2 linked regions of the Arabidopsis thaliana genome follow. The protein of the gene in region 1 interacts with the protein of each later gene in a biochemical or structural test. Each region holds a gene or a part of one and is shown in the gene's direction. Other genes may lie near its edges.

Region 1 (4,899 bases):
TTAGAAGCTCACGCTTCCTACGCGTTCAACAGTTACTATCAGAAGAACGCACGTGGAGTTGGCACGTGTAATTTTGGTGGTGCAGCGTACGTGGTCTCGCAACCTCCTAGTAAGTACCCTATCTTTCCTCTCCAAAATTTTATTTTGATTAGTAAGTATTTTGCATATACAGTATAGTTATTTTCACGTTCTTAATAGTTGGAAGATGGTTAGATAATAATTATGGGAGTTGGGATGGTTTAACAACAAATGTTATTTTTTTGGGCTTCACTTACGTATACAGATTTATAATTAAATTGTGACGTATAGACGGAAACGTAAACTAAATTAATTATTTTTTGTTGGTTATGTGTTTGTAGAGTATGGGAAATGCGAGTTTCCAACAGGGCATTGAAATGGATATAGAGAAGAAGAGGATCGTGCGGATTTATTTACGTTATTTATTTTGATACATTGTTCTTTTGTCATTCGAGTATATGATTTGCGTATATTTATTTTTATTATTGTATATTTGGTTGGTTTCATCGGATAAATAGTCAGATTTTCTTTCCCCCTTAAGCCTTAACTTCTTTGCTCGTGAGTTTATAAAACTGACAAAACTTTGTTGATATAAACCATTATATCCTGCAACTGATCCAATAAACAACATTGCAATATTATTTTCAAAATCTCAAATTGATTCGTTTTGCTGGTGATCAACTGATCATGATCCAAGCAAAACTCAACAGTATATATTGTCCATATTGTTTCATTCCAATACTCCAGAGTCAAAACCTTGAGCTGCCTACTTCATCAAACTTGATTAGCGCCTACCATCAATTGAGCTACGACTACACTACCAACTCCCATATAGAAGCCTGTAACTCGAAAAATGGGTTTTGAGTTATAGTTTGTCACAAAGCTCTGTGAATACATTATACTACATGAAAACTCATCAAGTCTTTTGATATGGAATCTTCAGAACCAAGAATAGCTTTAATGCTTTTATAGTTGTGAAGTCTGTTATTATTCTATTACTGAATGTGTATTCTCCTCCAGAAATATCTAAGATCTTAGATGAGTCAGTTTAGACGTTTTAAATAGCAAGAATGTTCTGCTTTTTTATGTCATTTTAAAAAGCTTAAGGTTTTGGATTGTAAGCATCGTGTGGTTGCTAATCGAACTTCCTTCCCTTTGCATTATTGAGATAGTGTACTCGCAAAACACGGTGGCAATTTAACCAAAACATAGTACAAACACGGTTTCAAAATTTTAAAAACAAAACCATATACAGTACTTGATTACCATCCCAAGACTTACATATTCTTAGATGGACTATGAGTCTATGGCTTTTTCTTCAACTACTACCAACTTGAACTTCTCCTCCAAACCAATTAAGTGGGCTTTCAATTGGTCATGCCTTCTTTCCATATCACGAGTTTCTTCTAGCCAGCGGGAGTGATTTGATGGAAAGGTGGTCGCATTCGTGGAGTATGCTTTTGTAAGTCTTGATTGGAAAAGCTGTAAACAATGCTCTTTCTGAAATATTGAGGGCTAGCTTTGGATCGCGCCATCGCGGCTAACTCTTGGCAACACCAATGGCTTCCTTGTGTCTTCTTCCATCAAAGCGTGTTCCTTTCATTAATTACATTCTCTTTTGTGGCCTTCTATTATATTGTTGCGTAGTTTTCAGTCTTTTATTTCTCTTCGTTGTATCTCCGTGTTATGTAAAAAATCTAAAATTTCGTATAAAACTTTAAATTTTACCAAAAAAATAATTAAAAACAGACAAATTCTTTAGAAATAAAATCTAACACCTTTTATATTTTCTTCATAAACAATTGAACCAAAAAAAAAAACTCAAATCCAACTCCTCTCCCCTATAAAACTCTATCTTATTGATGATTTTGCTCAAAATGTAGTAGTAATAACAATGACGAGGCCTATGATGGATCAGGATTCAGGAGAGCATTTTGGGCCGGATCCGGATCCGGATCCGGATCTGAGCCTGGATCCAATTCTAGATTACCGGGTTTGAGTATCTGCGTCATTCCTAAGCTCACTATACTCTCTGTTTAAAAAAACCTATCTCTCTCTCTCTCTCTCGCCGCCTTCCTCTCACCCTCTTCGCATAGCTTCACTTTCGCCGATGGTAAAATTATCTCTCCTTCTTTGCGTTGATCTACTTATCTCTCGATCCTACTTTGAAATTCTTAGGGTTTAACATTATATTCGATCTCGCGTGATCTGTTGATTTTGTCTCATCGTTATTTTGACATAATTGTCAGGCTCTACCTAACCAGCAAACCGTGGATTACCCTAGCTTCAAGCTCGTTATCGTTGGCGATGGAGGCACAGGTACCCAATCCCTAGCTTCATCTTTCTTTTGTTTTAGAAATATATACAGAGAATTGATTTAGTTCTATTTCAGAAACTCGATTTTGGATCAAATTGCTTTGATATAGTTCAGTTTTGATTAGTATGCTGCTTTGACTTAGTTTGTCTGTCTAGAGCTTAGTATCTGTATGTATAAGTGATCTTGATCCGTCGTAGTTCAATTCTGAGATTGTTCCAAATTGTTTCAGTAGTTGGATGCATTTGGCTATGTTATCAAGTAACCTCTGATTAAATGTTGGTTTGGTTCACAGGGAAGACCACATTTGTAAAGAGACATCTTACTGGAGAGTTTGAGAAGAAGTATGAACGTAAGTACTCTCGCAAGCAAGCCCCATCCTGAAATATATCACTTGTCATTAACCTTTTTTATTCTCACAAAAGATTCTCATGTGTTCTTGTGTTTTTGCAGCCACTATTGGTGTTGAGGTTCATCCTCTTGATTTCTTCACTAACTGTGGCAAGATCCGTTTCTACTGTTGGGATACTGCTGGCCAAGAGAAATTTGGTGGTCTTAGGGATGGTTACTAGTAAGTACTTTCTTCTCATACAAATCACTTAAAACCGACCTTGTTAATAATCTAGAATCATCTACTGTCATGCTATAATCTAGAATCTTCTAGTGTTGGAAGCTTGGTTATGGTTTGAAGCTCAATAAGATGATTGTAGCTAGCAACATGAAAAACTATTGATAACTGTTGCAAATAGTTTGTGTTTGATACAATAATGTGTTCTGTTTTGTTGCAGCATCCATGGACAATGTGCTATCATCATGTTTGATGTCACAGCACGACTGACATACAAGAATGTTCCAACATGGCACCGTGATCTTTGCAGGTATGATGAACTCACTCACAGAAACTAGCATTTGTTGTATGTGGCAAATTGCTAAACAGAAAATGTCATCAAATTTCATGGTGCAGGGTTTGTGAAAACATCCCAATTGTTCTTTGTGGGAATAAAGTTGATGTGAAGAACAGGCAAGTCAAGGCCAAGCAGGTAACATTCCACAGGAAGAAGAACCTCCAGTATTACGAGATATCTGCCAAGAGCAACTACAACTTCGAGAAGCCATTCTTGTACCTTGCTAGAAAGCTCGCCGGGTAAGAAACAATTCATCAATTCAACCCTCATTGTAGTTATTGTGAAACAACGGAAAAATGAAAATTGAGATGTTGCTTGTTTGTCTCAGGGACGCTAATCTTCACTTTGTGGAATCACCTGCCCTTGCTCCCCCGGAAGTTCAAATCGACTTGGCTGCTCAGCAGCAGTAAGTTCTCTAAAACTAATTTTGTTTTAATTTGTTGCTAAGGTTTGAGTTCGAGGCTTTTCTTCAATTAACGATTATATATTTGTAGGCATGAGGCGGAGCTTGCAGCAGCAGCAAGTCAGCCACTTCCTGATGACGATGATGACACCTTCGAGTAGAGAAAGAGAGATGTGATCTGTCACTGATTACCCGTTAGGGCTTGTCTGAACTTTTTTTTGTTCATGGTGCTATTTTTATGTGTCCGTACTTTGAAATGAATCGATGACATTAGTAATTTTCATTTTTAAGTTTTTAACTGTCGCTATGAAAGTGAAAACCTTTTGATTACAAACCTTACATGCTTCACAATTTCAATTGTATCTCTATTAATCCTAGCCGCGCAATCTCATCAATTCTCCACACCCAACACACTTAATAGTTTTTTTTTACATCAATCATTTCGAAACCACAAGTTCTTAGATACTCAACAACATTTTTTTTTTTTTTTCTGTAGCCAATCGATGTTCTAAAGATCAAGAATGTTGTATTATTTCTACCACTTATGGAGTCACCAAGGATATGTGAAGGGTTTTCTTTGTTTATATATTTTTTTAATTGCGTTTTAGGACATCTCCAATAGAAGTATCTAAATGTAGATACTGATCTCTATCAAAACAGATTATGGATATCATACTAGAGTACATTAAAAATTTGCTTCTAAGATTTTGAGTTCTTGGAGTCATTAACGCATCGCTAAGGGTATTTTCGTAACTTTAAATAACCCCAAATAATATTTTGCTTCCTCCCCAAGAACCTTTTTGCCTCTTTCTACTTCCGTCGGCCGGATTCAGAGTCATAAATAAATATATAAAAAAAAGTTTCGATTTTTGCTTTTCTTCTTCGATTCATTGCGCGAATCATCCGTGATGTTGGTGTCTAGGGTTTTATCAAGAGTTTCTCGCAGCGCAGGCTTACGCTCGTCTTTCTCCTCCGTCGTTACTCCGAAGAGGAATCAGATTCCGATTGTTGCAAGCCGATTTCACTCCCTCGTTCACGGAACCCCCAACAAGGTTAGGCTTTTAAGCTGATTTTACTTGTAATTCGTTCTGGATTTTATCGTCGGGTTTATGCTAGGGTTTAAGGGGTTTGTCTAAACAAAAGATTGTTATGTTCTGATTCTATTGCTCTGGTCTTCTTTATTACAGTGTCACGAATTTAATTGTGTATGTCTGAATGTTAATGTTTTGATTGCTCTTTCATATGTCTTAATTTGGATG
Region 2 (4,069 bases), on another chromosome or scaffold:
CCACGTCACCGTACCCAAATCGTTTCATTGCGGAGTAAACAGCATCAAGCTGAGCGTCGAACATGTTGGTGTAGTTCAACTTCGTAACCGGGTCAACATATACAACGTCGTTTGTGTTAAAGAGTGCGTAGTTTAACGTTTCAGGTCCGAAACCGAAATATGGATACGGGTTAACCATAAAAGGAGACTTGGTGCGGTTGTGGAAGTCTAGGATTGGAGAGAAGATGGCTTTGTCGTACCCTTTACGGAACTTTCCGGAGCTAGGTGGCTCGGAGGAGCCTGAGAGGATACCGAGCGAGTGAGGCGTCGAGACTAAGATCCTACTGACGTTAGCAAGGTGTAATGCTAACGTAAGCGTCTCCATAGCGGGAAGGAGATGAGTGATGAGGGTTTTGTCGGATGTGGCGACGACTTCGTTTCCGACAGCAATGTAACGGATTGAAGTTGTTAGGAGGAAGGGGAGGAGGTTGTCGGAGAGCCATGAACGTGCGTTGGAAAGCTTGGAAAGAGAAATGATATCGGAGTTTGGGACGGTGACGGTGAGGGAGATTCCTGTAATGCCGGAAAATGCGGCGAGGATGTCGTGGTTTGTGTCGAAGATTTTGACGTGGTTGATTATTGTTTTTGTTTTGATGAAGTTGACGACTTGGTGAGGCGGTGGGAGGTTGTTGGCCACGGTGCCGTAGTTTACGCCGACTTGATATGCAGCGGAGAAGGGAAGGATGAGAGTGAGAATTAGGAAGTAAAGTTGATGAACAACTCTAGATCCCAACATGATCGTGAATGAGTTTATTTTATGACTTCCACGTTTAGCAAAACTTACTAGGAGTTGTTTTTTGGGAGCATGATCGTGTTCGGTTTGATTGTGGAGACGTGAGCGAGTGGCTCCCAAAAAATCACTCACTCCTAGTAAGTTTTGCTAAACGTGGAAGTTTTGCTAAACGTGGAAGTTTTGCTACATAATGTAATAATCATAAATTAATAACATTTGATAATTGAAACCATTAATAAGGATGTAAATAGTTGCAAATTAATTGTATTTGGGGGTGATTGGGAAGGGACTCTCAGACCATCCTCATCGGACAAATTTAAAAGGTGTCTTCAAATTTTAACAGAATAAAAAAAATAGGAAGATGAGAATTAATGCGCTGAATAGGAGTGACATGATGACTTTAATGTCTGTGGAAAAACATTTTTTGATACGGGAAAACACGAATGTGTCACCATGCTATTGGTTGGTGTTATTGTTTTTTATTTTTTCTCTTCATTTGACCAACAATTTTCTCTCTGTTCATTTTATCAATAAATTTCTCTCTCTTCATTTGGCAGTTAAGACATCCAATATACTGATCACCGATGTGGATGCTCTCATAGCTTTAAAGGTGTTTTAAAGTCCTCACAGTTTTTATTTTAACAGTCATGCTTTCTTGACTTTATTTTTTTTTAAAGTTCTCAAAGCCTTGTTTTTATTTGTTCTTTGTTTCCTTTTTTTTTTTAAAGTCACGATTACATGGCTTTCAAACAAATAAATATTAAAACTTTTCTTTTTCTTCTCCCATGATAATTAAAAACTTTCTACAATTTTATATATATTTTTTCACAAATCATTTTTGATTAATTAATTATTATTAATTTTATATTTTCTTTTAAGATCCAATTTACTAATAAATAATTTATTTATTACATGTGCAGTTTATTTGTTGAGAATATTTATTTAAGAATATTTTTTGTATTTTAATTTTATATTATTAATAAAATATATTTGTGTCACTATGTTGAAACATAATTCAATTTTAACATAATTTTATTTACAAAAATATATTTAATAATAGTAAAAATAGTACTCAAGCTTTTACAACTTTATATTACCAATCAGAATTTAACATCTAAAATCTCAACAGTTAAGTCTCTACATCCAAATTTTCTATGGTAAAAGTTTTTAAAGCCAAAACATTTACCGTCATCCTTACCGATCGGCCCATAGTTGTTCAAATAATTTATATCAGTTACACACATTTCGATTTTGATTTCGGTTACAAATATTTTATCCACTCTAATTCACAACAAGAAATTAATTTACCTTAATGGGCCCAAAAGCCCAAAAACTGCAACGTGGCTAATTAAGCCATTCCTCGAGCTCAAACTTTAAAACAGAAACAAAACTTCTAACTTACAAATTGTACTTCTGTCTTTTACTCTGTCTGATTCAGTCAAAAAGAAAGGAATATTAAAATCTCTCAATTTTATATACACTCACTCAATCATACCTTTCTCTGGAGACCTCCACAGGGTTTGTTTCCGGAAATGTCGAACGGCACGGATCAGGCTCAACCACCACCGGAGAACCCGGCTACTCCGGTGGATTCGAAGTCACGGAAACGTGCGACGCCAGGGGATGATAATTGGCTTCCTCCTGATTGGAGAACCGAAATTAGGGTTCGAACCTCTGGCACTAAAGCTGGTACTGTTGATAAGGTGAAAAAATCTCAGCCCTTTCAATTCCTTCGCAGATAGAATCGTCCGTACAAATGGAAATGTTATGTTGTTTGTTGATTTGAATTGGAACTTTTTCTTAGTATTTATGAAATTGGGTATTGAAGTTAGGTTATGATGATCTTATTGGTTTATATTTTAAGGTATTTGGAGACTTTATAACTAGTCTTTAAGTGTAACGTTGCTGTATGTATGCTTGTTGGATGAAGATTGCTCTGTTTAGGATGTTGTAGGTGTGAATATGATAATGCAGTGCTTGATGATGTCTTGTATTTGTAATGTAGTTCTACTACGAACCGATTACGGGTCGTAAGTTCCGGTCCAAGAACGAGGTTTTGTACTATTTGGAACACGGGACGCCTAAAAAGAAGTCCGTCAAGACAGCGGAAAACGGAGACTCACATTCCGAAGTGAGTTTGTTAGTAGACATTACCTTAAGGTTTAAACCCGTGTTTTACCTGAACTGTTGTTGTTTTTGCACATTTTTGTAGCATTCTGAAGGTAGAGGAAGCGCTAGGCGGCAGACAAAATCCAACAAAAAGGTTACTGAGCCACCGCCAAAGCCGTTGAACTTCGATTTTCTGAATGTGCCGGAGAAGGTTACTTGGACTGGGATAAACGGTTCAGAAGAAGCTTGGTTGCCTTTCATTGGGGACTACAAGATTCAAGAATCTGTCAGCCAAGATTGGGACAGAGTATTCACTCTTGTCACCTCCCAAAACGCTGGAAAAACGATGTTCTAGAAGATTGCTGCAGAAACTCACAAATTGTAATAACACGCGCTGCTAGATTATCATATCTACTTAGTATTTACTGATCGTTGGTTGGAATGCAGGTTAATTTTTTAGTAGTGATAGTTTTAGTAACACTTTGATTTGAGTTGTAATGTACTTTCTTAACATTTTCTTAGATAATTTGAAGGCAATGTATGTCTATATTATTGCCTTTGAGAGAATCCGATAGTAACAAAGTTATGAAATCTAAAGTTCGATGTGCGGTACTTCTCTGCTCAGTTCTCTCTGCTTTAAATTGTGAATCATCAGTTATGCATAGGCTCTATCTATCTATGCTTCTCTGCCTTTGTCCTAAATGATATACGGAAGCATACTGACATAATTTGGAATAAGTTCAAGTTATAACAGAACAGTGTGAAAATATGAACCAAAGCGTCTGTAGTCCAACGGTTAGGATAATTGCCTTCCAAGCAATAGACCCGGGTTCGACTCCCGGCAGACGCATTTTTAAATTTTGACATTTTACGCTCGTTGTTTATGAACAGTAAATATTTTCTTTAGATCTTTGTTTAAGAATTTTTTTTCTTTCTAAAATGGCTAAGAACATTGTCGTCAAAGACTATAATTCTTTTCTGTCTTATGCAGTGGATAAAAAAGGGGTTCTTATCGCACTTTTCAGTTATCGTTTGTTTCCTATCAGAAAACAAAATGGGAAAAATTCTCCACCTCAAAATTCGAGGAATTCTAACGGCGTGGAGATGAATAATTACCAAAAGTAACATATACACCCCCGTCGAAAATAACGAGTTTTCAAAAAAGATATTTTCGGTTGATTTGTCGAT

The links. Proteins that work in one complex are often made in the same cells at the same time.
Region 2: the proteins of RAN3 (region 1) and MBD5 form a complex in vitro, tested with the Arabidopsis thaliana proteins (one study listed by BioGRID).

Annotation. Positions count from the first base shown.
Region 1 is NC_003076.8:22,390,157-22,395,055, forward strand, and holds RAN3 (RAN GTPase 3), read left to right. Parts: upstream 1-1,906; 5' UTR 1,907-2,128; coding exon 2,129-2,131; intron 2,132-2,267; coding exon 2,268-2,337; intron 2,338-2,627; coding exon 2,628-2,684; intron 2,685-2,785; coding exon 2,786-2,903; intron 2,904-3,120; coding exon 3,121-3,210; intron 3,211-3,296; coding exon 3,297-3,476; intron 3,477-3,565; coding exon 3,566-3,643; intron 3,644-3,731; coding exon 3,732-3,801; 3' UTR 3,802-4,029; downstream 4,030-4,899. Other genes in the region: AT5G55180 (O-Glycosyl hydrolases family 17 protein), read left to right, coding at 1-113, 360-405; MGE1 (Co-chaperone GrpE family protein), read left to right, coding at 4,549-4,692. UniProt on the Arabidopsis thaliana protein: GTP-binding protein involved in nucleocytoplasmic transport. Required for the import of protein into the nucleus and also for RNA export. Involved in chromatin condensation and control of cell cycle.
Region 2 is NC_003074.8:17,146,093-17,150,161, forward strand, and holds MBD5 (methyl-CPG-binding domain protein 5), read left to right. Parts: upstream 1-2,139; 5' UTR 2,140-2,304; coding exon 2,305-2,475; intron 2,476-2,777; coding exon 2,778-2,903; intron 2,904-2,984; coding exon 2,985-3,236; 3' UTR 3,237-3,505; downstream 3,506-4,069. Other genes in the region: AT3G46570 (Glycosyl hydrolase superfamily protein), read right to left, coding at 1-775. UniProt on the Arabidopsis thaliana protein: Transcriptional regulator that binds CpG islands in promoters where the DNA is methylated at position 5 of cytosine within CpG dinucleotides. In addition, binds specifically methylated m(5)CpNpN but not m(5)CpNpG (N is A, T or C).